Linked DNA regions of Xenopus tropicalis. The protein of the gene in region 4 interacts with the protein of the main gene of each other region in a pairwise test. Links are inferred from orthologs where the notes say so. Each region holds a gene or a part of one and is shown on either strand. Other genes may lie near its edges. The genes, in order: thap7, dab1, meox2, pin1, zbtb9, supt5h and cnksr1.

The links.
Region 1: the proteins of pin1 (region 4) and thap7 interact in binary tests that used the Homo sapiens proteins (3 or more experiments, as listed by UniProt). The two-hybrid records come from large-scale screens. The link is inferred for Xenopus tropicalis from reciprocal best matches to the Homo sapiens genes PIN1 and THAP7.
Region 2: the proteins of pin1 (region 4) and dab1 interact in binary tests that used the Homo sapiens proteins (3 or more experiments, as listed by UniProt). The two-hybrid records come from large-scale screens. The link is inferred for Xenopus tropicalis from reciprocal best matches to the Homo sapiens genes PIN1 and DAB1.
Region 3: the proteins of pin1 (region 4) and meox2 interact in binary tests that used the Homo sapiens proteins (3 or more experiments, as listed by UniProt). The two-hybrid records come from large-scale screens. The link is inferred for Xenopus tropicalis from reciprocal best matches to the Homo sapiens genes PIN1 and MEOX2.
Region 5: the proteins of pin1 (region 4) and zbtb9 interact in binary tests that used the Homo sapiens proteins (3 or more experiments, as listed by UniProt). The two-hybrid records come from large-scale screens. The link is inferred for Xenopus tropicalis from reciprocal best matches to the Homo sapiens genes PIN1 and ZBTB9.
Region 6: the proteins of pin1 (region 4) and supt5h interact in binary tests that used the Homo sapiens proteins (3 or more experiments, as listed by UniProt). The link is inferred for Xenopus tropicalis from reciprocal best matches to the Homo sapiens genes PIN1 and SUPT5H.
Region 7: the proteins of pin1 (region 4) and cnksr1 interact in binary tests that used the Homo sapiens proteins (3 or more experiments, as listed by UniProt). The two-hybrid records come from large-scale screens. The link is inferred for Xenopus tropicalis from reciprocal best matches to the Homo sapiens genes PIN1 and CNKSR1.

Annotation. Positions count from the first base shown.
Region 1 is NC_030683.2:102,973,938-102,977,437, forward strand, and holds part of thap7 (THAP domain-containing protein 7), read left to right. Parts: intron 1-35; coding exon 36-191; intron 192-1,392; coding exon 1,393-1,521; intron 1,522-2,913; coding exon 2,914-3,500. UniProt on the Homo sapiens protein: Chromatin-associated, histone tail-binding protein that represses transcription via recruitment of HDAC3 and nuclear hormone receptor corepressors.
Region 2 is NC_030680.2:87,414,939-87,418,438, reverse strand, and holds part of dab1 (disabled homolog 1), read right to left. Parts: intron 1,465-3,500; coding exon 1,345-1,464; intron 825-1,344; coding exon of another isoform or gene 786-824; intron 1-785. UniProt on the Homo sapiens protein: Signaling adapter of the reelin-mediated signaling pathway, which regulates the migration and differentiation of postmitotic neurons during brain development.
Region 3 is NC_030682.2:36,891,089-36,895,132, forward strand, and holds the start of meox2 (homeobox protein MOX-2), read right to left. Parts: upstream 2,801-4,044; 5' UTR 2,651-2,800; coding exon 2,146-2,650; intron 1-2,145. UniProt on the Homo sapiens protein: Mesodermal transcription factor that plays a key role in somitogenesis and somitogenesis and limb muscle differentiation. Required during limb development for normal appendicular muscle formation and for the normal regulation of myogenic genes.
Region 4 is NC_030679.2:136,780,425-136,784,560, reverse strand, and holds the start of pin1 (peptidyl-prolyl cis-trans isomerase NIMA-interacting 1), read left to right. Parts: upstream 1-1,336; 5' UTR 1,337-1,385; coding exon 1,386-1,443; exon of another isoform or gene 1,444-1,479; intron 1,480-4,136. UniProt on the Homo sapiens protein: Peptidyl-prolyl cis/trans isomerase (PPIase) that binds to and isomerizes specific phosphorylated Ser/Thr-Pro (pSer/Thr-Pro) motifs.
Region 5 is NC_030684.2:71,795,640-71,799,815, reverse strand, and holds the start of zbtb9 (zinc finger and BTB domain-containing protein 9), read left to right. Parts: upstream 1-1,376; 5' UTR 1,377-1,436; intron 1,437-1,459; exon of another isoform or gene 1,460-1,556; intron 1,557-1,562; exon of another isoform or gene 1,563-1,732; intron 1,733-4,176. UniProt on the Homo sapiens protein: May be involved in transcriptional regulation.
Region 6 is NC_030684.2:81,692,723-81,696,222, reverse strand, and holds part of supt5h (transcription elongation factor SPT5), read right to left. Parts: intron 3,134-3,500; coding exon 3,065-3,133; intron 2,807-3,064; coding exon 2,555-2,806; intron 2,121-2,554; coding exon 2,031-2,120; intron 1,244-2,030; coding exon 1,173-1,243; intron 1,078-1,172; coding exon 972-1,077; intron 599-971; coding exon 505-598; intron 335-504; coding exon 198-334; intron 1-197. UniProt on the Homo sapiens protein: Component of the DRB sensitivity-inducing factor complex (DSIF complex), which regulates mRNA processing and transcription elongation by RNA polymerase II.
Region 7 is NC_030678.2:76,989,685-76,993,184, forward strand, and holds part of cnksr1 (connector enhancer of kinase suppressor of ras 1), read left to right. Parts: intron 1-374; coding exon 375-434; intron 435-1,859; coding exon 1,860-1,928; intron 1,929-2,907; coding exon 2,908-3,477; intron 3,478-3,500. UniProt on the Homo sapiens protein: May function as an adapter protein or regulator of Ras signaling pathways.

The DNA.
Region 1 (3,500 bases), on a different chromosome or scaffold from region 4:
TTATGAATTGGATTTCTTTTATATGTCTTTTCAAGGCTTCCAAGAAAAGATGATCCCCGCAGAAATCTTTGGATAGCAAACTGCCAGCGGACTGATCCTAGTGGCAAAGGTCTTTGGGATCCTTCTTCTGACTATGTATACTTCTGTTCTAAACACTTTGAGAAAAGCTGTTTTGAAGTTGTTGGAACAAGGTAAGTGAGACTTAAATTTCCTTTCAGACATATGATTTTAAAAGTACGTCCAACACCCCAGCACCAAAATGTTAGGCACCCCCCCCCCCCTGTGATTGTAATCACTTTCCCTAGGTCGGTTCTCCTGTTAGCAGAAACCTGCATAAGTTGGGGGTACCTGCAAATGAGTTATCCACTTCTGTCTTTGTGCTGTAGAGTGAAAAGCTGAACTTTAACAAACAAACCCGTCTTTTCACTGTACTGTGCATACGTAGGCCCCAAGATTGCGAAGAAAAAAGACAGGAGGAAAAGCATCACTCACACACAGTTTTCTGCTGAAAGGGGCACAGGCCTGTAGTACAGGTATGGGACCTGTTATCCAGAATATTCGGGACCTGGGGTTTTCCGGATGGGGTTTTTCTGTAATTTGGATCTCCATACTATAAGTCTGCTAAAAATAATTTAAATATTGAATAAACCCAGTAGGATTGTTTCATTATATCTTAGATGGGATCAAGTACAAGGTACTTTTTTCATTATTACAGAGAAAAAAGGAATCCTTTTTAAAAATTAGAATTATTTGCTTATAATGGAGTCAATGGGAGATAGCCTTTCCGTAATTCAAAACTTTCTGGATAACGGGTTTCCGGATAAGAGATCCTATACCTGTATCAGGTAAGTGATTATAATCACTGGGGGGTGCCTAACATTTGACACCCTCAGTGATTTTACCTTTCCTTCTCCTTTAAAAAAAGCTTTTTGCTTGGCATTCTGCATTGCGGCTTGGTCTTTTTGTGACTTGTGGATAGTTTTTTGCTCAGCAGCAGGTCAAATGTTCAAGTTCCAATACATTCGGGACACCACATAAATGTTTCTCTGCAGACTAATACATTGTCAAAGATTTTACTGTATTAATGACATAGCCAACTGGCACAGCAGGCAATTCAGTGCAGGGAGATTTCCCTGCAAGTATTGTTATCATACAGTGATTTGTGGGTAAAGTTCATTGCAGGTACTTAACATAGGGGCTCACCACCAAAGCATTGTATGTTATCAGTTCATCATAACTGCAAGGGAATCTCCCTGCATTGAATTACCTTATTGTGCCAAAAAAGGTTTCAGGTATTCTTTTAAAGGACTATTAAGAACGTTATTTTGACTGCACTGAGTAAATATGTTTGCGTTAAAGGTATTGTAGCATTGATTTTCATTTGTCTCCTAGTGGTTACCATCGTCTCAAAGAAGACGCTGTCCCAACATTATTCATGTCCTCGGCCAAGCTTCGGAGAGCATCAAAGCTTAAAACACAAAAAAGGAAAAATGCAAAGAACACAAAAGGGAAACGGAAAAGGTAATGAAATATACGGCTAAGGGGTGTGTGTTTGTTTTTTCTTACTGGCGGCCATCTACTGGATTAAAGAAGAAATTTGCCTGGAGAGTAACATTTATTAAAGAACTAGTAAACCCTTTTTCTGTCTCTAAAATGACTCTAAATAGTGCCCAGAATATCATACCTTTTCTTCCTGCAGTCACATGTAAATTCTGTTCCACAAGCAGATAAACTTTGACTCTTCAGCTACTTCCTAGTCTAGCATGAAGCTCTCCTTCACTCTCTGACTGTGTAGATGGTCGAAGAGGTTTCTACTCCTCTTGCTTGCTGACTTAGGCATGTGCTATAGACACCTATTTGATAGTCTTCACAGTCATAGAGAGGAGAGCTCAGCAAAGGGGACAGTGCTTAACGCTACACTAGGAAGTAGCAGTGAGAGCTGAAGTTGAACTGCTTGTGATACAGAATCTCCATGAAATGGAGTGCAGGGAGTAATGTATGTTATTCTGTAGGCTGTATGAAATCTTTTTAGGGGCTTTTATGATAAAAGGCTTACTTATTCTTTGTTCTGAATTCACACTTTTCAGTTGGTCTTCTTTTTCGTTTTACCACATTTTGTTTTTAAATTATTTGCTTTCCAGATTTCCTCTCCCCAACTTGCACAGCAAAAAGATGTCTTGTTGCCAAGATTAGTGGCGAAAACATGGTATAAGAGGCTAGATTTAATTTATTTTTTTTCCTGTTCATCTTCTATTTTGACTTCTGCACCACTGGCTGGTTTCTAGTGTAAGTGGGGGCTACAGCATTCAAATAACAGTTTAACATTGGACCTGGACTCTGGCAAAGCAAATATTTAAAGGGGAACTATTTTGAAAATGAAATTTAATATAAGCTTCATCTAATAGAAACAGAAAAAGACATTTGTAATACGTTGTCTAGGCAAAGGCAACAGACACCAATGTATTTTGACTTGCATGAAACAGATTGCTACGAGGGGAATAATGAATAGAAATGTGATTTTGAGACAAGAACTTTAAGCTGATTTTATATATCACAAAAGCCTTATTTCTATAAGATTAGGCTTAACTTAAGTTTTCCTTTTCACAATAGTTCCATCTTTTAAATAATTCAAGGTCAGTAAATCAAGGAGTAAGTTTCTCAGTGCTGTCATGGCTTTCATGAGTCTCTCAACACAGACACATGAATAACAGTTACAGGGTGATGAGAGGGAACCCACATACAGTATAGACAGTGGATTTAGTATCAGAAACAGAATCTCTAGGAAAAGAGGGGAGTTTCTAAAAATTCTTATTCACTGCTTCAGCTCCTATGTAGATAAAGCTTTTATCTCTTATTACCTTTTCTAATACAGTATTTTTTTCATTTATATGGGTTTCTGACTTTTTTTTGCAGGAATCTTCCTTTACATATTGATCCAAGTCTGTCAGGTAACCCTGATGAATCTACTGCAGAATGTTTTGATCATAAAAGGTATGATGGAGTCCCTGCTCAAGACTTGGTTAACTTCCATGGACTCTGCCCTGAAAATATAGATCTTCCAACTGATACAGCTCCGGCAGAAGGAGCTGTGGCCACCACAGTTGACCAAATGCACCCAGAGGGCACTTTAGAAGATATGGAAGTTTCTGCTGTTATTAATGGGCCTATCTCAGACTGTAGCATGGAGTTATCTAGTGCAAGAGATAAAATGGCTTCAGATATGTCAATGCACTCAGTGGAAAGTTCCAGAGAAAGGGATGACGAACCTTCCTGTCCTGTCTCTCCATCAGCTTACATGATGCGCCTACCTCAGCCTCCTGGTGCCTACATCCAAAATGAGCACAGCTATCATGTGGGCAATGCCCTTCTTTGGAAGAGACGGGCTGAATCTGCATTGGAGGCTCTAGGTAAAGTACAGAGGCAGCTGGAAGCATGCAGGCGTAGAGAGCAGCGACTGCGACTTCGCATCTCTGCTCTGCAACAGGAACATTTGCGAGAAA
Region 2 (3,500 bases), on a different chromosome or scaffold from region 4:
TTTTTTCACCTAATGTTAACAAAAGGAATTCTGGGAGTGAACTCCAAACTCTTAAAAAAATCCCATTTACATGGGTTTATCCTATAGGCTAAAGCTCACCCACTGGGTTTGAAGCTGAAGCCAGGACAATAGCTGATCAGATTCCCAACTACAGACCGGTTTCGCCCTTCTTGGGGGCTCATCTGAAATTTGGAATTTCCCCACAAAACCATGCCTGGTTAAAAAAAAATTGGTGATCACTAAAAGCAACCAAAAAAATTTTTTTTTTTTACATGTATGTATACACATTTGCAGAAACACTTTATTTTGTAGAACTATTTATTTAAAACATGAGGATAATGCTCTTCATGTGGAATGACAAGGTGCTTAAGTTCTTATTACTAGTGATGAGCTAAACTGCCCTGTTTTGCTTCACCAATAAATTTGGGAAATGGCAAAATTTATTTCCAATCAATTAATGTTTTTCTTCTGTTTTCTTTCTGTCTGTCTATCCATCTATCTATCTATCTATCTATCTATCTATCTATCTATCTATCTATCTATCAGCAATGACTCTGATATGGTTTTGAAGCTTTGAAAATATGAAATTCTAATCAATAGTAATTGGCAAAGTGTGTAAAGTAGTAAAGATTGCTAATTTGATTCTTTATAAATTAGGCTTCCTACCTCATCTCTATAGCACTACAAAATATGATGGTTTATTAAATAACATTAGTTTTGCTGAATGCTATAAGACATAATGAAATGAGTCTAGTTTATGGGTGGTCTATGGATGGAGATGTTACCTGGTAAACAGGATCTTCTACATCTTCTTCCAAAATTGTCTGAAGTAAGGTAAGCAGGGAAAGGGACACAAAGCAAAAAGGTATGAACTCTACAATTAGGGAGTGAGGTGTCTGATGTTTCACCACATTTAGTATTATATTATAAAGTTGAAATGTGCCCTTCGATTGTTGGTATACTACATCTCCCAGAATTACAAGACATTGTTGATGGTTTTTATAGTACAACAACAGTTTTAGGGCAAGAGATTAGGTATATCCTACAGTGAACTGTCAATAACACAAAGTTATGTGAGCGTACTGTATATTACACCTAGTACTAAATGTAATATTGTATGGAGAAATGCAAACTATATATGGTCTATTGGCCTATATAAAAACATCTTTCCAAACTGAATCCCAAATCCCAAAAGCTGAGTAAGTTTTAAACCATTTTGTATCTTCAATGGACTTTGCAATACAACTCCTTTGGTTTCACATATAAACTAAAATATATTTTTCCAAGGTTGATCAGTTTGCCTGTTGACATTTCCAAAAACCAAAGCCAAGGCTGAATAGATACCTGATATACAGCTTGTTCACATTGCTTATCTTTTTGTGCCTTTTTCTCAATTTCTTCCCTCTGCTTCAGCTCATAGATAAGCTGAAATAAATCTCTCAAATCCAAAATGACTGGCTCTGCCTACAATTGAAGGACAATATTTGAAATTAGTTCCCGGTAAGATTTTCATCTTAAATGCCTTTGAAAGAGGAAGAATGTTATTGTAAATAAGAGTTGAATCTTAAATATTATCATGTGCTTACTGAAATGCTAGATTTTGCATGTAAATCAAACTTTCATGAGATGGTGATTAATCAAGAGGTAAGGTATGAAAACACAGCTTCCATGGGGGCTTGAGATGAATATACTTGGAAAAACTTTCTTGACTTATACCAGTGAAATGTGCTCTAGGAGTCAAACACAGTGTAATATAATCTAGAAAGTCTGCACAGACCGAATAATAGTACATTTTGCTTGCTGTAAAGTTATAACTCATATTTTAGCCATACCACAAAAGTGTATGGGAAGGACCAGCATTTCAGTTTAGGGTAAAACTTAGGCAAGTAAAACTACAAAAGGCATTTGTCTTAAATTCTACACTTAACCAATCAAAGCGAATTGATCATTGGTCATTAGTTTATTAGCTCCACTGACTCTAGGGACAACCTACAGCATCTCTAGGGTTAAAATCACATGAGGCTGTTTCTCTGCTGCCCTGGCCTGTGTGCACACACAAGATGCAATTTTAGTGTGAAAATGTATAATTCACATTTATACCTTGAAATACAATCCATGTTTATACAGACTAAGCCAGTTCATGTCAGTGCACTTATCGCAAGGAGCGAATGAGTGCGTATCAGCTGGGTTTTTACGAAGACAGAGAAACAGCCTCATATGATATTAGCCTAACTGCTTATTCTCCTCATCTCTTGCTCAGCACAGACAATATAACAATGTGTTAATTTTATGTTTTACTTACTACTTACTACTAACACATAATTGGACAGATGTGTTTTGGAAACCAGTCCACCTATTCCCAAAAAAAGTTATTTTTGTATCTTTTTCTTTTATAATTGTTTACTTATTAATGTTTTAAATAGACTGCAATAACAATGAGCCTAATGGGATCTTTTTTTTTTAAATTAAGGAAACCAGTTTACACTGCCTAGTATGTAAATGGGCTAACTGTGTCCTTAACCAACTATTTAACTCGCAGTCTCACAAAAATATGCATGATTCTGAATGGATTTCAGTCAGGAAAAAGAATTATTGTGGCCCCATATACAGACCAATGTCTTAACTTCCTTTCTCTCTAGATATATTCATTAGAATAAGCAGAGCTCAGAAGATGAGTGGTGATAAAGGCATCTTAAAGTATATAAGTAATTGCAGAGGCTTTAAATAGATGGATATTTGAAATGAACTCTTCCAGCTCTGACCTTTAAGAAAATAAAATCCAAAAGCATTATTCCTGGTAACACTATTTTAGTATGGTAATATAATAAAGCAGAGCTGTCATTTTTAAGCAATTTCCTCTACAGAAAGAAGTCTAGTTTGCATGGAACTGTTGATCATAATAAAGCATACTGGCACAAAATGTGCTGAGATGGGAGAAAAAGACAAATAATGCATATTTAGGCATGGTTATGGATATATAATTTATTATCGCTCAGAATAAAAAAGGATAACAGTAGACTAAAAATAATTTCTCTTTTGAAGTATAAGTAGGAAGAGTTTTTGCTGTATGCCTGTACAACACATAGGGGCACTTTTATCACCACTTGTTCTCTTTTGATTTCTCGTGATTCATTGGGTGTTATTTATAAAAATTCCTATCTGTGTAATTTTCATATTATTTTTACATCAAATAACCTTGAATTTTTTAAAAATGCAATCGAATAATAGAAAATACCTCAAATTTTCAAATTGGAAAAACTCAAAAAACTAGAACTGGCTGTATAGGTTACATTTTCTCTAGGACAGCTCTCACTGACTTCTACGTGACCTTGCAAGCTTTCAGATGCTGAAGTTTTACATTCAAGACTTTCACACTTTTTTTTTTTGCTTTATGAATATCATAAATTCAAGCTTTTTAAATCATAAATCAAATGAATAGTTTTTTGGACTAAAGAAAACATTAATTGTAAAAAAACAATAAATAACCCCCTTAGTAAAAT
Region 3 (4,044 bases), on a different chromosome or scaffold from region 4:
AAACTACAGCATTCTCGTCACAGCCTAAGGCTAAAGGCTGATGATTGCAGTTCAGCAACCCCTAGACGCCCATAGTTTAGATTTTTCTATGTCGAAATATGCACATATAATGGATAGGACACGGTCCGGGCCATTAACTTTGACTCTAGATTGTATAATTTGGATAGGTATACTGTTTCACAAAGCCATCCTTTCATTTCTCCAGAAACCAAATGCCCTTAAAACAATTGTTTGTGAAGTGACTCTAAAAGAAAGAACAGCAGTTTCTCAAATTCGCCAGGACCCAGTTATTGGATACACCGTGGTTAATGAAGCTAGTTTGTCATTTTTGCTCTGTGATTAGGTATAGATTTCCTGGTAATTTATTTTCTTTAAACGCTTGCCAATGTTATCTTCCCTAAACAGACAAAACAGAAGGGGGGGGAGAGGTTTAAAAGCATTGCAAGCCTAGACAGACTAATTAAACACTGGAATAATAACTTTTGAAAAGTTGTCTTGTTTAAAGCCCCAAGCCTGGAAGAAAAAATAAGGTCAAACATATGTCACGAATTACTCATTTGTCATTCATGTCTTATAATTATTGAATAACCATTCATCCCAATCAGAATATCTCATAAGACTTAATTAGGAATGGTAAGCAGGTCATCTCCAATTATGACTTCGCTTTCACTTATTCCACTGACCACTTGTCTGATTAGTGAGTTAATATAGTTGCACTTATCTCTCGCCATCATCTAATAGCAGGATAAAGCTACTCCACTTTATATATATAAATATATATATGATAAGCATCGAAATCACCAATGAACTGGAACATATAATACATATTTCAGTTATGTTTATATTCAGTGTGATATACTATGTTCATTTCTTATGCTACTGATATGCAAGTATCACGTATATTGTATTTCTTTTACTAGAATTTGCCATTTTAAATGGAAATGGAAAAGAGGATTTTAGTGTTCATGTCTGTTTGGGGTATTTCAGGTATGACGGAAGGTGTCTGTTATGAATCATTTGACTTTTTCAGTTCTAGATATTGATTGGTAGTTATTCATATCACTATTGATATGCAGCGGATTAAAAATGTATATATTATTATGGTCTGCCAGAGATTCTGATCAGTGAAAGTGATGTAATAGGCTCAAAAGAACTGATTTCACTGAAGTGGCTTATGTGACTGAATTAAAGCAAATATTACCCATCACTTTGCACTTTGTTAATTAAACTCTTAATTTGATGCAGACTGTGTATATGGCTTTCCCAGAGGAGGTGTTAGCTGATAATATAATTAACACCTTTCTGCAGTTGCTGGGACGGGCAAAAAAGGCTGCCCTCCCTGGGATGAAATCTCTCTATTTTATTCCTGCAGGAAGGGGGAATGGGCAGTCTAAATGTGCCAATTGTCTTTTTATCTGCCATAAAATTGCATTTGTAATAGTTTGGCTGCTGAGAGAAACAGGAGTCAACAAGTGATCTCCATTTCTTGTTATAATACTGCAGTGATACTGGATCAGGCTGAATAAGGATGGAGTGCAGCACGGGTTTCTGAAGGATTGTGTCAATAAATAGATTGTAATTTCAAATGAAAAAATGATACTTGGATTCAATCTTGCTTATTAAAGGAATTTGATATTCTTTTGACACTGACAGGATTGTTACATAGGAATACACCAGGAAAGACTTGAAAAGAGGGAACTATTTCTGCCCGTTCGTATTGTAATGTAATATACAAGTATTTCCTGTTTAAATAGAAACTTTTTACTTATAATATGTCTTGCATAGCGTTTATAACATTCCTATAGTGTTAGCAAGCTGCACATGTCTGAAATATTGTATACATGCTAGTTAGCAAGTGTCTAACTAGTACTTTTTACACTGCTAAATGCATTTGCCAGTGAGTACGAACACAAAGCTTTGAGCAACAGAAAAACCCCTCTCTGCTCAATTTGAACTGTCAGAAGAAGCTGCCGTATGCATGGATGCTAATGGCATATCCTAGGCATACAGTTGCTTAGGTTTGCACCACTGCTGTGCCACTTTCTGCAATGCAGTGCTAATCCAATACAAGGCATCACAATTACCAGCTAATATATATTTCCTTTTTGCTGCATGCTCAGACATTGTAAACACAAATATCCTTACCTGAACTGTCACTTTTTCTTTTGCCAGTCCTCTTTTCTGCTTCTGCCGGGGAGAGGGTCTGTCTGCCATAGTCCCCTGTCACACAAGCTGCACCCGTTGAGCTGTTAGTGCCCAGGCTGGATGTGTTTGAACACAAAATAGAGGGGCTGCCACTTAGATCTGGAGGTCCAGATTCCTGCTGAAGGCAAAGGCTATGTCTGGTGGAGGCAGGAGGAGATGACATCTGAGGAATGTGCCAATTTGATTGCAAGGTCTGGTGCTGTTGTTGCTGGTGATGATGATGATGGTGATGATGGTGATGATGTCCTCTGTGATGCTGGCTCCCAAACATGCCCTCCTCATTGGGATAGCCAGTTAATATGCAAGAGGACGAAGAAGAGGATAAATCAGGATAGGACATGTGGTCGGATCTTCCATGGAGGGCAAGAGAAGACTGGGCAAAGGGGTGTAAGCCCTGAGAGGTGGCATGGGGGCTGCGCAGGCAGCCAAACAGTGTGTGTTCCATGGCATACAAGTTTCAAGTTGCAGGCTTGAGATTCTGGCAGGATTAAACTCCACAACGCTGTCACTTTTCACTGTAAAATGATATTTTTCCCAAACAGTAACGGCACACTTTCAGTACAGATCAGATAATCCAGGTCTTCAGCCTGGTGGCCAGTCTCCTGTGCTTAAACAGTTTGCTCTGACCAAGATGAGCTTTTGCAGAGCTGCTCAGATGTCAAGAGTAGGAGAGGTTAAAGCCAACAGAAGGTGGTCCCAAGGAGCTGCTTTAATGGGGGAACAGCTAAGAGAGGATATAAATAGTGTGTAATGTGAGCTGGGGGCTGGCTTAGCAACACAGTACTGACCACAAACTCTCTCCAAAACTTTAGCACTCACAGATCCTTCCAAGTTGCGACAGCATCACTGCACTGTCTATGTACAACTTAAACCGGTTCTGCCCATTGCTAATATGGATATAGAGAAACTGCACGCAGGTCTTAGTAATTCATATACTGACACAATGACAAAAAGCTCATTCTACCGTAAGAAATCAATTGGAAAGTATTGTGCCATGCCAAGCAATACATGCCATTTTATTTCTTTTTTAGTGTTCTGTGTAGTGAATGTGATACAATATAAATAGCTTTAACTAAGGCACCATTAACCTACTGTTACTGAATCTATAACTCCCAGAATCCCCTGCCAGCTGCACTAGGTTATAACTTTTTACCAACATAGGACATATATGTGCAGTTTTATACAGCGGGAAGTAAGCAGTATACATTGTTCTCTTTTGGCGAGAGTAACGCAGAACCTGAGTAATGTTCTCCTCAAATTGTTTTCAGAAATAGGAAGATGTAACATCCTCTTAGTAAATAGGAAACATGTGTGTTTTCCCAACTAAAAGTCACACCTGTGTTTTTCAGATGTTTGTCCCTAAAATCTGCTCCAGGTACTGCTTACTGCACAGTAACACAATATTGTTCTATTCATCAGCATAAATACTCATTAACCCCTTCACCTATGGCACAGAAGCCTAGTTTGTTGTACCAGCATAGAATCTTTTATCTAAAATGCTTGGGATTTGAGGTTTTCCAGATAAGGGATCTTTCTGTAATTTGAATCTCCACACCTCAAGCCTGCTAAAAATCATTTAAATGTCAAATAAATCCAAAAGGATTGTTTTGCTTCCAATATGGATTCACACAGCTTAGGTACCATCAAGTACAAGGCACTGTTTGATTATTACAGAGAATGAATAAATCACTTTTAAAAATTAGAATTATTTGCTTAAAGTGCAGTCTATGAGAGGTGGCCTTCTCATCATTCAGAGCATTCTGTATAATGGGTTTCTGGATAAGAGATCCCATTTAAGCAATTCACTGTCTGTAAAAGACTATACAATCCACCTGTATA
Region 4 (4,136 bases):
TCTCATGCTCTACCGACTGAGCTAGCCGGGCACTTGTGAAACTTTCCATTTACCACTACAGCCCCTCTGTAATGTACTATCATCCCAGTTCTCTTGTAAAAATCCGCCTACAGTTTCAGTGAGCATGCAAAGCTGCCATACATGATCTCGTCACACAATAAAATATCACTAACTATCATCTTTATTTTATTCTATATTATATATAAAGCTGGCAAGCTTTTTTTTAATAATGGCTGCTGTTATAAAAACGATTGAGCAATAAAATAAAGGGCTGTTGTTACAATTAAGCAAAACACACTTTCCCTGACCGGGAATCGAACCCGGGCCGCGGCGGTGAGAGCGCCGAATCCTAACCACTAGACCACCAGGGAAGGTTGTATGTGAAATTGCCAGATTTATTTTTCCAAATCGCCAGTCAGTTCTAAAACCAGTGAAATACTAGTCCAAACCCACTTTGAAAGTAACCCAAAAATAGCCCAATGTGCAATGAAAAAAATTCTACAAAAATAAAAGTACATATGGGAAAACCTGCCTTTTTAAAGCATATAATCACTACCCAGTTACTGGAATGGCTGATAATTCCCTGCCCTCTGTGCCCAGTCCAGCTGGGAAGTCGCTACAGAAATAGATTCAGAATCTTGCATTAACCCCAGACTTATAAATATGGGTGCGTTCAACTACAACTCTCAGCAGCCCCAAGATAACTACAGACCTGCCCCCACATCACATACCCTATAGAGCAGGGAGCAGAACATACAGGTTGAGCCTGAAAGAGCAAAAAGGAATAGAAAACGGAGCCTCTGGCTAAACTGCCCAATTGCAAGCTGGGTATTGTAGTTTTATATTACTCCTAGTTGTAGGCTAATTGTTAGCTACAAACTACATTACCCAGCATGCAGTGGAACAAGCACACTAGGGGAAAAAACTGGCTAGGTTCCAAACTACAAACCCGCCAAGGCTCCAAAAACTAGTCCAAAACGGTACTTTGGCGGGTTTGTAATTTAAAAACAAACCAGGGCTTTAAATTAGTAGCCCAATTTGGCAGAAAAACCGCTAACCTGCCACCCATGCTTGTGAGAGCAATTTTAATGCGTAAGAATAGAGAGAGACGCGAACACATTTCTGCGCATGCGTCATACTGCTGCCAATGCGTACAACCTCTCAGCCCCGCCCCTTGTTTTATTAATTACTCCGTTTATTCCGTTACAGCCAATAGTGGGCGCATATCATTTCCCGCCCTTGCTTTCGGTTTTCAGGCTGACTACGTCGTCGGCAGATTAGTTAGCTTAATGGCTAAAAGCTTAGCAGGGACTTAACCAATGAGAAGCGCCGAGCTGACGGAGTGGTTTGTGTAGGCGGGGCTTGGCCTGACGCAGGAGGGAAAGATGGCGGACGAGGAGAAGCTACCGCCCGGGTGGGAGAAGCGCATGAGTCGAAGCTCGGGTATATGGAGTGTAGCGGGCACAGTTGTTATATAGAGTTAGTGCAGCGCTGGTTTGCTTTGTAGCTGTTCCTATTTTATTGTGTCTTGCACTGTGCATAGCGTCCTGATAAAGGTGCTGTTGCAAAGCTGCAGAACTACAATTCCCACTTTGCATTGCGCATTATAGTATTTAGTCGCCTGTAAACAGACTAAGAAATGCTAAGCATTGACTGCTTCTGCTACTGTATGGGGCCATGACTGGTGCCCTAGTATCTGCACCTATCTGTTCAGTGTCATTTGTGTCAGAGTTCGATCTGTTCCTGCTTAGATGCTGATGTGTCTGTGATTAACATGGTGCCTTGTGGCTATGTATTGTATGTATCCTGCTCGGGAATGGTCTTCAGTCAGGAGCCAAGCAGGCAAGGCCCTTCAGAGATCCTTAGTGGGGCCTAAATTAGTACAGTGGCCCCTGGGAAAGGGCCGTGGTATAGTAGGGAGAGATGGTGCCTATAGTAGCAGTGGGGGGATAATAGCCTCTGGGAAGGGACTGGGGCTGTGGGATAGCAGGTATAGTAGGGAGAGATGGTGCCTATAGTAGCAGTGGGGGGTAATAGCCTCTGGGAAGGGACTGGGGCTGTGGGATAGCAGGTATAGTAGGGAGAGATGGTGCCTATAGTAGCAGTGGGGCGATAATAGCCTCTGGGAAGGGACTGGGGCTGTGGGATAGCAGGTATAGTAGGGAGAGATGGTGCCTATAGTAGCAGTGGGGGGGATAATAGACTCTGGGAAGGGACTGGGGCTGTGGGATAGCAGGTATAGTAGGGAGAGATGGTGCCTATAGTAGCAGTGGGGGGGTAATAGCCTCTGGGAAGGGACTGGGGCTGTGGGATAGCAGGTATAGTAGGGAGAGATGGTGCCTATAGTAGCAGTGGGGGGGTAATAGCCTCTGGGAAGGGACTGGGGCTGTGGGATAGCAGGTATAGTAGGGAGAGATGGTGCCTATAGTAGCAGTGGGGGGGGTAATAGCCTCTGGGAAGGGACTGGGGCTGTGGGATAGCAGGTATAGTAGGGAGAGAGAGCCTCTGGGAAGGGACTGGGGCTGTGGGATAGCAGGTATAGTAGGGAGAGAGAGCCTCTGGGAAGGGACTGGGGCTGTGGGATAGCAGGTATAGTAGGGAGAGATGGTGCCTATAGTAGCAGTGGGGGGATAATAGCCTCTGGAAAGGGACTGGGGCTGTGGGATAGCAGGTATAGTAGGGAGAGAGAGCCTCTGGGAAGGGACTGGGGCTGTGGGATAGCAGGTATAGTAGGGAGAGACGGTGCCTATAGTAGCAGTGGGATAATAGCCTCTGGGAAGGGACTGGGGCTGTGGGATAGCAGGAATAGTAGGGAGAGATGGTGCTTATAGTAGCAGTGGGGGGATAATAGCCTCTGGGAAGGGACTGTGGCTGTGGGATAGCAGGTATAGTAGGGAGAGATGGTGCCTATAGTAGCAGTGGGATAATAGCCTCTGGGAAGGGACTGGGGCTGTGGGATAGCAGGAATAGTAGGGAGAGATGGTGCTTATAGTAGCAGTGGGGGGATAATAGCCTCTGGGAAGGGACTGTGGCTGTGGGATAGCAGGTATAGTAGGGAGAGATGGTGCCTATAGTAGCAGTGGGGGATAATAGCCTCTGGGAAGGGACTGGGGCTGTGGGATAGCAGATATAGTAGGGAGAGAGAGCCTCTGGGAAGGGACTGGGGCTGTGGGATAGCAGGTATAGTAGGGAGAGATGGTGCCTATAGTAGCAGTGGGATAATAGCCTCTGGGAAGGGACTGGGGCTGTGGGATAGCAGGAATAGTAGGGAGAGATGGTGCTTATAGTAGCAGTGGGGGGATAATAGCCTCTGGGAAGGGACTGTGGCTGTGGGATAGCAGGTATAGTAGGGAGAGATGGTGCCTATAGTAGCAGTGGGGGGATAATAGCCTCTGGGAAGGGGCTGTGGGATAGCAGGTATAGTAGGGAGAGATGGTGCCTATAGTAGCAGTGGGGGGGGGGGATAATAGCCTCTGGGAAGGGACTGGGGCTGTGGGATAGCAGGTATAGTAGGGAGAGATGGTGCCTATAGTAGCAGTGGGGGGATAATAGCCTCTGGGAAGGGACTGGGGCTGTGGGATAGCAGGTATAGTAGGGAGAGATGGTGCCTATAGTAGCAGTGGGGGGATAATAGCCTCTGGGAAGGGACTGGGGCTGTGGGATAGCAGGTATAGTAGGGAGAGATGGTGCCTATAGTAGCGGTGGGGGGATAATAGTAGGGAGAGATCGTTTGCAGCTTATTGGCCCATGTACAGTGCTGCATTCATAAGTAGCACTATTTACAAAAAAATTATACATAAATGCATGTATGGTGACGAGAACTGAATTAGTGCGTTTATGTTGTCCTTGACTAATGGGTCTGCATAGGGCCATTTTAGAATCTGCTTTTTATTGGCCCAGAAGCCAGTCAATCTGAACAATCCGATCTGGCTCAGATCAAATGAGCAGATATGTTAATGTATGAGTAACGCTATGCTATGAATTCTCCTGCTTTTTTTTTTATACCCAGTTATGGCTGCTTGTGAGTATAGACGTAAGCAGGGAATAAATGTTCTTTTGACATAGCAAACTTTGGCTTTACTTTACTGCCTGTGTACTAGATACTCTTGCTGTACTTTATAATCAATATAGCTGTC
Region 5 (4,176 bases), on a different chromosome or scaffold from region 4:
CATGCTGCCTAGAGATTTGTATCCGCAACTGTCAGAACAATAAAAGAGAAGGGAGAATTGAACTGAATTGATATTTTGTAATGAAAGTATATTGGAGGTAGGTTTCTGGAGGTAAGGAGCCTGAAAGGGGATTTTATTTTTGACTTTAGATCCCCTTTAGGATCAGATCCACCTTTTCAGGTCACATATTCCCAGTATTTGTCTGTATATAATTAAAAAAGTCTCTTCTCACATACCATTTTTCTTGACTGTGTCATATGATATAGTTGTGTCAGTAAATAAAAAAATATTTTTAACAAAGAAGTATCATATATATGTAATTGCAGGGGCTAAGTATCAGTGTCAGAATGAGATGCCAGGTGCACACTGCCAAAACTTTAATTCCTCCTCTCCTCCTTCAAACTCTTTATTATCCTAGTCTCTTTTCTCTACATACTAACGTTTATTCATCCATTTACCAAGCTTCCATGTTCCCATCCAGAAATAGGCTAAATAGTTAGAAGCAAGAGGGCCCACTGACACCTGGGCCCACAGGGAGTTTCCCTGGTATCCTGGTGGGCCAGTCTGGGACTGGTAGGTATAATTAAATATGAACTTTGGACAGTGGATGCTTGCATTGTTGTACCAGTGCAACTTTGCCTCAAAAATGTGTCCAGAAGGGGGAAGGGGGGGCCTGCTGCATGCCCTGCACCTGGGCCTGGGGAGGTATAGTTCCGCTACTGTTTGGAAGCATAAATCAGTTTGGTGTAATGATCTCTTGTACCTGTTATCAGTGTTGGACTGGAATACCAGGGGCCCACCAGAAAACCTTAGAACATGGGCCCACTCTCCAAAATATTATTCTCCTATTACATGCTAGCATCTATTTTTCCATCTATTATTTGTATTTGTTCCCATTCAGAAATAGGGAATGACCATGAAACAGGCCAAATGGTTTGGAGCAGGAGGGCCTACTGACCCCTGGGCCCACCGGGAGTTTCCCTGGTATCCTGGTGGGTCAGTCTGACACTGCCTGTTATAAACTTAAAATATACCAGAGAATGCATATCACCACATAATTTCACATTTAAATATTCCTTTTTATCTGTACTTCTTCTATTTGCTCCAGCTCCCTATTTTGGTCCATCACACTAAAACGAATCATTTATTAGTTCTTTGACCTGGTTAGTAATTTGTATTGGATAATGTATGTGAAAGCAGGCTACTCAGCCTGGAGCTTTGCAGGCAATAGTAACATAGTGCTGTGAGAGGCAGATCACTTGGCACACCACACAGCTATAACCCTCTATGGAGCAGTTTGTATCATAGCCACGGTTTATTACAGCACATTCATACTACTTGTGCTTGTGGTAGGTTCCTAAAGGAAAGAGCGCAATATATCCCCCTTCTGGTCTCCAGGGGTAACTACAGGTGTGAGCGGCGCTCTGAGACAAGGGGTAAGGTAATGTTCGTCCATGTGATACAGGCCCGGATGTTTCCTAGCTCGTTTTCCCGGGGATAGCGCCTACTTGTCCCTCCTCCTTACTCTCGTAGAGATGTGACTACGGAGTCCCAGGGTTGGTTATACTTGTCCCTGACCGCGTTTTGCATGGCTCCAATTTGATGGTTTCCCAGGGTTACACACGTTTGTCCCGCGTCTGGCCTCCACGGGCCTGGCTATGTTTGTCCTGCCGCTGGTGCAGTGACGGGCTGCTGTATTTAGGGAGCTTCAGGGGAGCAGGGAAGTAATACGGTATGTTTCAGGGGTGGGGTTTATAGCGCCTTTGTGAGCAGTGCACTTATCAGAACTCACAAACCTGTGTCTAGTCTGTGGCCTTCTAGCTAGTTTGGGACTACAGTTCCCAGCATCCTTCACATACAGCCGAACTACAGCGGTAGAGTCACTATTTACAGTAACGGACACCAGTAGCAACTATGTACCATAAGGCCACAGGCTGTATTGATTGGGTAATGGGTGTGTGGGCCTGGCTGGGAAGGGAACAGGTTATCGGATAGCATTTTGTTATATGTACTTGTATTTTGGGCCTTATTGCTCCTTGTCCTCCCTCAGCCCTGTCCCACTGCCTGATCGCTAGGGGAGACTAAGGTACAAGCTCGCAGGGGGACACATAATAATGGGACACATAGCCCAGTAAGGAATGAGGGATAACTGGGGCAGTGCTGGGCATCACTTTCCTACCATCACTCCTGCCATGTAAATGGCTGCTAACAGATATGGAATTGGCTGCCCTTTATATGTTATAATGTTTCTCTGATGCAGATACATGAAATCCATCATTAGCTGTGACCAAACAAAGCCTCACACGGGATATTGTGTTCAGGGGAGACAGTATGTAGCCATGACAGGTGCTTAAACCAGTGATTTCAGGCAGATATTTTAGTATGTGAGTGACTTTGGGCATTTTAAACATGTTTCTTCGGCTGATAAAAAATATGTGGTGATCAAAGTGCAGAAAACATGCCTTTTTTGAAGGGTGAGCGCTTACGAGAGCCTGAGGATTGTCCAGCAGACAGTCACACTGTTCTACCTGGTGCCCAGCACTCTATATACTGAGCTTTTACATAAGTGCAGTGATGCCAAAGTAAAGACGGCTTGTGGGCACATAGCAGGGACTATTTCTCTGCACCTTGCTCAGAAAAACTGTTATACATTTGCAGCCCTGCACTGGTAATTTATTTAAAGAAGTAAAAGTGTATACAGTCCCTAATGTTGTGGCCCAGGCTTTTGGGTGTCTTGTAAAAATCTTATTTATAGTCTGATTATCAAGAGAGCTTGTTGGGTTGCAGCATATACACAAATATCCCTGGTGAAGCCTCCTTGGTTGTTTAAAGATGTTGCATCATTGACAACCCTGCATATTAGACTTAGGTACAATTATAATATTAGCTAGGCTTGTGCTCTCCAAAAATGTTTATTAATTCTGAAAAGTATAACTATAAACACCAATATTACTCCATGTGATATCTACACCAGGGGACAGGAGCCTAGTGTGGTACTACATGCCTGTCAGTGCCTGGCAGGATGGATCTTGTCATGAAAATGCTTGTGTGCACACAGACAGGAAGATGTCTTTCTGTCAGCCAGGGTTTGAGTAGATTGTCTTATTCTCTAAAAGAAAAAAACCCTGGTGTAGCATTAATTGTATAGTTTCATTTTTTAATGGGAAAAAGCAGTAGTTGCAGTATTAAACAGAGGGTTATTTTAGTGTATTGTATAGGTGCATTGACTCCAAAAATGAATAAATAAAAAAGTTGCCCTGCATGTTTCATGCCTTTCATGAACACTACGACGTAGTGCCCTTGAGCAGTATGAAACCATTTGCACTGTATCAATTTACTTCTAAAATATTTAAAATATTTTTTTGTATTTTGGAATTCTTGCATCCTGTTCCAAAATAAGGTAGCCACACGTAAAGATGGCCACATGTGCCAGATTCAGCTGCCCATATCAGTCCCTTAGAGCGATTCAGCAGCTTATTTGCCAGTGTATAGGCACCATCGACAGGCCTTCCCAAACGGCATCTGACCTGAACCAGTGGCACCTATGCCTGCCATTTTAATTTGATTGTTTGGCCCTAGTAAGTGGGCATATCGGGAAAAGATCCTCTTGCTTTATGACATTGACAAGCAAGCAGACCTTACAGTGTATGGCTACCTTTACGAAACACAGTTTTGTGAAGGTAAACTACCACTTGAAGTCTGCCCCCCAGTGCATGTATGTATATATATAATATATTATATCAAATTATTCTTTATTTAGCGCCAACATATTCCATAACTATCCACACCTGTCCCTGCCCTAGCGGAGCTTACAACTTAAGGTGCATATAGCATTCACACACGATCATTTTTCGATCAGAAGCCATTTATGATAAATGTTTTTTCAGTGTGGGAGGAAACACAATCATTGATAACGCATTAAAACTCATAGTACCCTCACTGGAATCAAACCTATTACCCCAGCACTCCAAGAAAGCAATGCTAACAGTTACACCACTGGTTCTTCATCAAGTACATGCATTTTGTCACTGTGCACCCCTTTATACTATACAGCCTTTTTTTACATAACAATTTCAGTATGATCTGACAAATTATTGAATTATCGTATGGGTGGTGTGCACCCAACAATCGTACATCTGCTGTTCTTTCCTCCGACATTGGTCAGAGAATTGATCG
Region 6 (3,500 bases), on a different chromosome or scaffold from region 4:
TAAATTTACAGCGCTGAACCACAAGAGTTTGTGTTTCAGAGCCGATATACACCCCATGTCTGCACCTGGGACGAAGCAAAGATTCCTGGGTGAAGGCAAAGAAGGCTGATTCTCAGCCTCCAGTGTGGCATCAGCCTATAAGTCAGGGTTTCTGTGATAATAAACATGGACTTTGCTTCACAAAAAGTACATCATACCTTAAGGTCTTCATGTTTAGGCATAATTGTGATTTTGTTTCCATCCACACTAAGAATTTTTCCTTGTAAGTTTATCAACTCCCCTTCGCACACCTCCACGTTGTCCCCTGGCTGCAAGCTGTGTTCTCTCTCTTTGCCTGTTCAGAGAAAGAGCAGCATACATGTACATATACCATGGCATTCATCAGCAGTAGGTGTATTTACCAATCATTGAGCAGGACTACAGCCTTTGAATTAGTAATGTGAGAAGTGAGGTCTACAAAATCTTTAGCAAAGTATTACATTCTACTGTTTGAGAGATCATTACCTGTTGCTTCAGTCACCACTTCCAAATCAACTCCCTCTGGCTGATCCTCAAACTTTTCTAATTCTGAGAGGGTAGGTTTAACACCTTCTGTGATCTGGTGTTTACAAAAACAAATATATAAAAATACTTTAATATGAAAAACAATTTACTCAAGCATGTGTGATAGGTCACGTGACCTGTGGTGTTTTAAATGTTGAAGAAGGTGTGAAATGATTATTGGTTTACAGAGGGAGTGGAGTCTCTAGAAAAGATGCCCTTTCCTTTCCCTTTTTCTGCACAATAAAATGAATAAAAGAATCATGCAAAGATTTTTGTGATGCACCTAAACGTTTGCTATCTGTGGTAGTGCTATCCATGTTAATCTATTTCAACTCGTCTGCAATCAACTGACCTCTCTATATAAAATACACACAAACACACTCACACTCTCTTGGCTGGAGCTAAATTCATAGAACTAGAATACTTACAACGGCAGACATGGCAAAGCTTTTAAATAGGAAACCTTTGCGGCTGTATCGATTACCCTCAAAAATAAGAAAATCTCCATCAGATGAGACATCTCCACCCAGAGACCTGTTATAAAAAAGCAGGAAAGTCATACTGTTATAGTGAAACGTAAAGGTGGGGTGATTTCTGCTTCATATTAACCATTATCACCATGAACTCACCTGATTTTTTCAGCATTAAAATGTTTTTGGGGTGGTCTCCGAAACTTCTTTCTCTTGGCAAACCAATCTTTCTGTAAATTGGGCGGAAGGGGGGAAGAAAGACAGCTTCATAGAATGCACAAGGTACATTTAATAGCTTTAGAGGACAGTGTCTTATAATACAGTAGTAACAAAAATTAAAAGGTTTGTTTATGAGGAGGGAAAACAAAGTCAACTGGTATACAGAAGAGGGAGCTGAAGGAGGTTACATTTGGTAAAACTCATAATTAATTCTTATTCCCTGCATTATTGAAAAAGGGACTACCCAGGACAAAGGCTTAATGTAAGTAACCAAGTAATCTTCAGGGTGTTTTCGTGATTAAGCCAAGAATGGGAAAAAGGGGGAAAAAGTAAGCAGATGACAAGTCTAGAGGAAATAAAAGGTGATTAGTATGAAAAAAAAACTAGGTGAGTGGAGGGATTCAACAGGAAGAATAGATGAAAAGCCTAAGCATTGAAAATGTTACAAGTTGGCTAACGGTGCGGATACTAAACAAACAAGGGTTTCTCAAATCTCAAAGTTACTCCTACTGGTGTAGGAGGTTGGTCTCTAATGCCAGTTATATTATTTTCTAGATATTCTGCTTGTGTATCTTGCTCAATGGCAAGGGAAAATATATTTATGTCCAACATATACAGCTTTACAAAAGTCATCTGTATTGTACAATTAAAATACGATCCTGAATTTGTCTTACCTGTCAATGAATGCTTACATCATAATCTTTTAATCAGAAGGCTTATTAAGGTATTTTAACACAATGTTAATGAAAAGGCAATCAAATCAGTTTATGGAAAGAAAAGAAGGCCTGACTAACTTACCAGACTCATACGTGCTTTGATACGATCATAGTCAATTCGAGGAATCATTTTCAAGGAGATGGTGTTCTGGCTTGGCTCTACATAATCAACCTAATGAAGTGAGAGAATATTCATTTAAATGCGCTTTCCTCCATTGCAAGGCTTGACATGGGAATGCTGGATAAATCAGTAAAAACCTTTTCCTTTACATCTATAAAGTTATATAAAGTTTTTTGTATTTTTTTGTTACGCAGCTCTCAAAAAAAATACAAACAACTTTTTTTATTATATAACTTTTTTTTATTTATATACATCAGGCTAAAAAAAGAGCAGAATACGAAGTCTAATAAATGTAAAACCATTAAAAAAAAATGAAGACCAACTGTTCAAAATAGGTCCAACATACTCGCTTTAGTATGCTTTCTACTATAGACTTGAGATGTGAAGGAGCTGCTTTTTGATCATAATGATCACAATGACTTGTAGGATAATACCAACCATGGCTTTTTTTTTCAGCAGCTCCTCCTACTTTATGTAGCACGTACCTGGGCTATGTCATCCTTGTAGATGCCTCTCTTGAGCCTCACCCAAGATTTGGGCTTGAGATTGGTCACCTCCTTCACAACTTTCAGGACATCTGTCATTTCCTTAATGGGTACCATTTGCTGATTCCAGAAGCCCATACGCAGGTTGCCAATGCCTTCAATGGCCTGCTTTACGTGGGTTTGTTTGTAAGCCTCCACATAGATGTAACCCTTCACATGCTCTGGAGCAACTACTGACTTTATCTGAAGGGGCTAAAGCATGAGAATAATATGTTAGAGAGAAGTTTAAGGATTGGAAAAACAGAGAATACACAGGAAGAATAAAGCAAGAATGTGGTGGCCACATGTTATCTTATATGTAAGGATAATTCTAACATTGTCATCAAGTAGACAACCCTACATATGGTGAGGTCTCTAAATAGAGCATAAAGAAGGGGCTAAAAAAGGAAAATGGCCATAAAATAGAAATGGATATGGAAATAGGGAAAAATCAAAGCTGGTCTCACTTACTGTATCAGTGAATTGGTAGGCGATAAATTTGCGCATCAGAGCAATAGCTGTAGCTCGTTCTTCTCCTATCTGCATGAGAAAAGTGGAACAAGTAAAGTACAACTGTATGAGGCACTCCGCACTGAGCATAAACCAACATCGACACCCAATTCATACACATAAAATGCTGATATGGACCACAACCACTCTGTGTGCAGTAACATGCATCAATGGGATCTGCATGGCTGTGCATATAGAAAAAAAAAATTAGCCACTTTGTAGGTAAAAAGATGCTGAGAGAACCAAAACCAGATATAAACTTCTCATACTTCAAACAAACTGTCAATTAAATTCAGATCAATATCCACTGTAGACTGTAGCATGCGTTGACATTATCGGTAGATTTACCAAGCAGAATGAGTATTTCATGTGTATCCTGGTTTAAATAAGTGAGCTG
Region 7 (3,500 bases), on a different chromosome or scaffold from region 4:
TTTAAATAAGTGGCAACATATTCTGCAGTGCTGTACAATAAATGTGTATATACATTGAACATAAAGATTCAATACAAACAAAATACAACCAATAACCTATGCAAAAGGTAGAGAGAGCCCTATCCAAAGGAGCTTACTACTTAAAGTGAAAAAGATGTTTACATTAGAATGCATTTGTTTATGTGCATCTATCTGTGTGATGACAATTAGTGTTTTAATTAATAGTAATAAAAATGTAAACACTTATTAATAATTAATCATTATAGTCAATTAATAAGTGTTCATAATTTAAGTACATGTTATACATACAGACAGACATACATACATATGCAACATAAAGCTGTCATTACATCCATGTTATCATTTTATTGCAGGGTATAGAAATAAAGTCTACATCATTGGGGCAGCACTTTGTCTGCGGAACAACAGCAGAGGTCAGTTGATTCAGGATCAGAAATTTTGTATTTCTGTATAAATGTTTTTTGTCCCAATAGAAAACACTTTCATAATATATCGCAGATCGTTTAGTGTTAGGTTCAGTTAAGATGTTCATACATCCATCATTATCTTGGGTAATTTTACAGTCTTCTATATCTTTGCAAGGGTAGCAATCTGGAGTGCCATTTGCTTTTTTGTGGTAGCAATCTGGATAAAACCATAGGTAGCAGATGTTGCTTTAAAACATATTCTTTTGAATGCTTTTTATCTTTGAAGATAAAAAGCAATTTGGAGGCAAACTAATGTTATTTGTAGAAAAAAAAATCAGATGATAAAATCAGTAGTCTTCTGCAAGAGGGTAAACAAAGCCACACAAGGAAAGCATCCAGGGGTAGGGGTCATTCAAATCACATGTCGTTTTGTCAGAATGGGAGAAGATCAGACTGGTTGCAATAAAACTCTAAGTTGCTAAAGGTGGCCATACACGGGCCCATTCTAGTTGCCGATATCGGCCCCTTAGACCGATTCGGCAGCTTATCGGGCCATGTAGAGGCAGCAACGATGGGCCTGTCCGACCGACATCTGGCCTGTATCGTCCAGATATCGATTGGGCAGGTTAAAAAATTCAGTCGGATCAGGGACCGCATCGGCTCGTTGAAGTGGTCCCTGAACCGACTGCGCCTATTACTGTCGCTATAATTTGATCGTTTGGCCCCAAGGCCAAACGACCTAATTAGCCTTAATTACTCTGATATCGCCCACCCATAGGTGGGGATATCGGGAGAAGATCCGCTCGCTTGGCGACCTCGATGTGTATGGCCACCTTAAGTCACTGATAGCTGTTCAGGAGAAAACTGGATTTTCATGCATTAGAAGATGGTGGCTTCCAAACTTGTTGTGCAACACTCTTCATGCTGTGCCATTATAGGGGGCCCTGTACAGCAAGTAGCATAAAGCAAACATCTTAGTGGTTGTTAATGTTTATTTGCTCCTGATCAAAAGTGCATTTTATTACTTATGTGTGTGAGTAGGGTTGATATCTGCTATCCAAGAATTTAAGCAGGTTCTAAAAGAAAAAAGTTAAAGCTGGCCAACCCCTCAGATTCTAATATCCATGTACTATGGGTATATGTTTGTTCACTAATTAAACGATTTTTTTTAAAGATGTGGGAATAAGCTGCCAATGCATGGTGCATTAGCAGCTTATTCCCACATTTTTAGCAGTCTTTATAGAACCATTTCCTTGTTTCTTTTAGCTGCATTTCTCCTTAGCTCATTTCTTCCTATCTTCATATGATCTTTCTCACAGTATCATTCATACTTATTCTATCTTAGTCACAAGCAATTCTGGCAGGCCTACTCTGTGTCAGTCTTGTACTCAATTTACAAAGTTTTTTTTATTCTTCACATACTATACCTAGGCTCCAGCTGGAAGAAGTGGCAAGATCTTCCCAGGAGATGAGATAATAAAAGTAAATGATCAGGTTGTGGTAAGTGATTTTATCTCATATGTATGCTGCAAAAGAATTGAGCCTTATACGTGCATTTATTGGATTGCAATATGTTTCCATTCTGTGTGAAAAGCTTTGTGGTGGTAAACATGTGGCTGAATTTGGTGTTCTGTGAAATACCTCTTTTATGCATGGCAAATGTAAATAAATCTGTAGTTCTCAAATGAGAATTCTACTGGTATTTCCTTTGAGATTTTGTACATACAAATAAACAGCTTATGGTATATAAAAGGTGGAGAGAAGTGTTGCAATCCTATTTTCTACACCATGCTTGAAAATTAACAATCTTTTATTTATTTATTTATTTATTTACATTTATTGAAATATAATATATTGTAAAAGGGAAGTATACAGTTTGAATTATTTGCTTTATTGGAGTGAGCTAATCATCATAAAAAAACAGATGCAAACTTTTGTAAATCTAAATGGCAGTAACTTTCCGACAGCTACACTGAAAGCAATGATTAAATTAATTTTGTTTGGCATATAGACTGTAAGGGCAACGTTTAAATATTCCACACCGTTGTAACTGTTCTGCCTGTCCCTACTCCCCAAAATAAACAGTGCAGATGCATTGCCAGTGCATTTGAGGGGGTTTAGCGATGAAGATTTCTGTGCACTACTTTTACAAAATGATCAACTTGGATCACTTGTGTACATACTGCCTTGTTCCTTTTGCTGCTATTACTGTTACTTTTGAATCAGCACCAAAGACATGAGAAGTTCACACTAATGTTCTGAATCATATTAATGTAAAGAACATTAAAATTAATGCGTATGTGAATAAATTAAAATGCTCTTTATAAGATGTTGTACATTACTTGTAACACCTACATATAAAGCTGGAGAACATATGAAAGATAATTACAGGATCTTAAATTATGCTGAAACAAATGATATCTAATCATTTTGTTATATTTTTGATTTTATTTTTCTAAATGATTGTTTTCTTGCTTAGGTTGGTTGGACACGCAAGAACCTTGTCTACAAACTTCAAGAGAAAACAGACTGTGTAACACTTGTCCTCAAGAAAGTTTCCATTCCCTCTACTTCTGTATCTCCTACTTCTCCCACATACTTTATTCAGCACTCCAGCAAAACCACATTAACTGCACACAGTGAGCCATCATTACCAAAGGCTGAAATTACACCTGTAGCAGCAGCCAGGCAATCCCCCAGTCATCTGATACTGGCTTTGCGCAAAAGTACTGAGACGCGCACCACACGTAGTGCACCAGTCACCCCAACAAAGGACACTCCTTCAGTATTAAACTTGAACAGTGTTAGCACATCACCAGTATTTTCAGATAAATTCTCCTTTACTAATAAACACAACACTGATATTAGTCAAAATCAGGATAGTTCTCAACAGAACTCGGACACCATTTTATCTGCAAACTGTCCTTGGTCTCCAACATTCTGGGAATCTACTTCAGTCTTCCCCTTGTCACCCTTATCTCCAGAAAATTTTGATCAAAAAACCAAGGAGACAAAGGCTTTACCCATTACAGAGGCTGACACATTACAGGTAGATTCATTAACTTCTTCTAT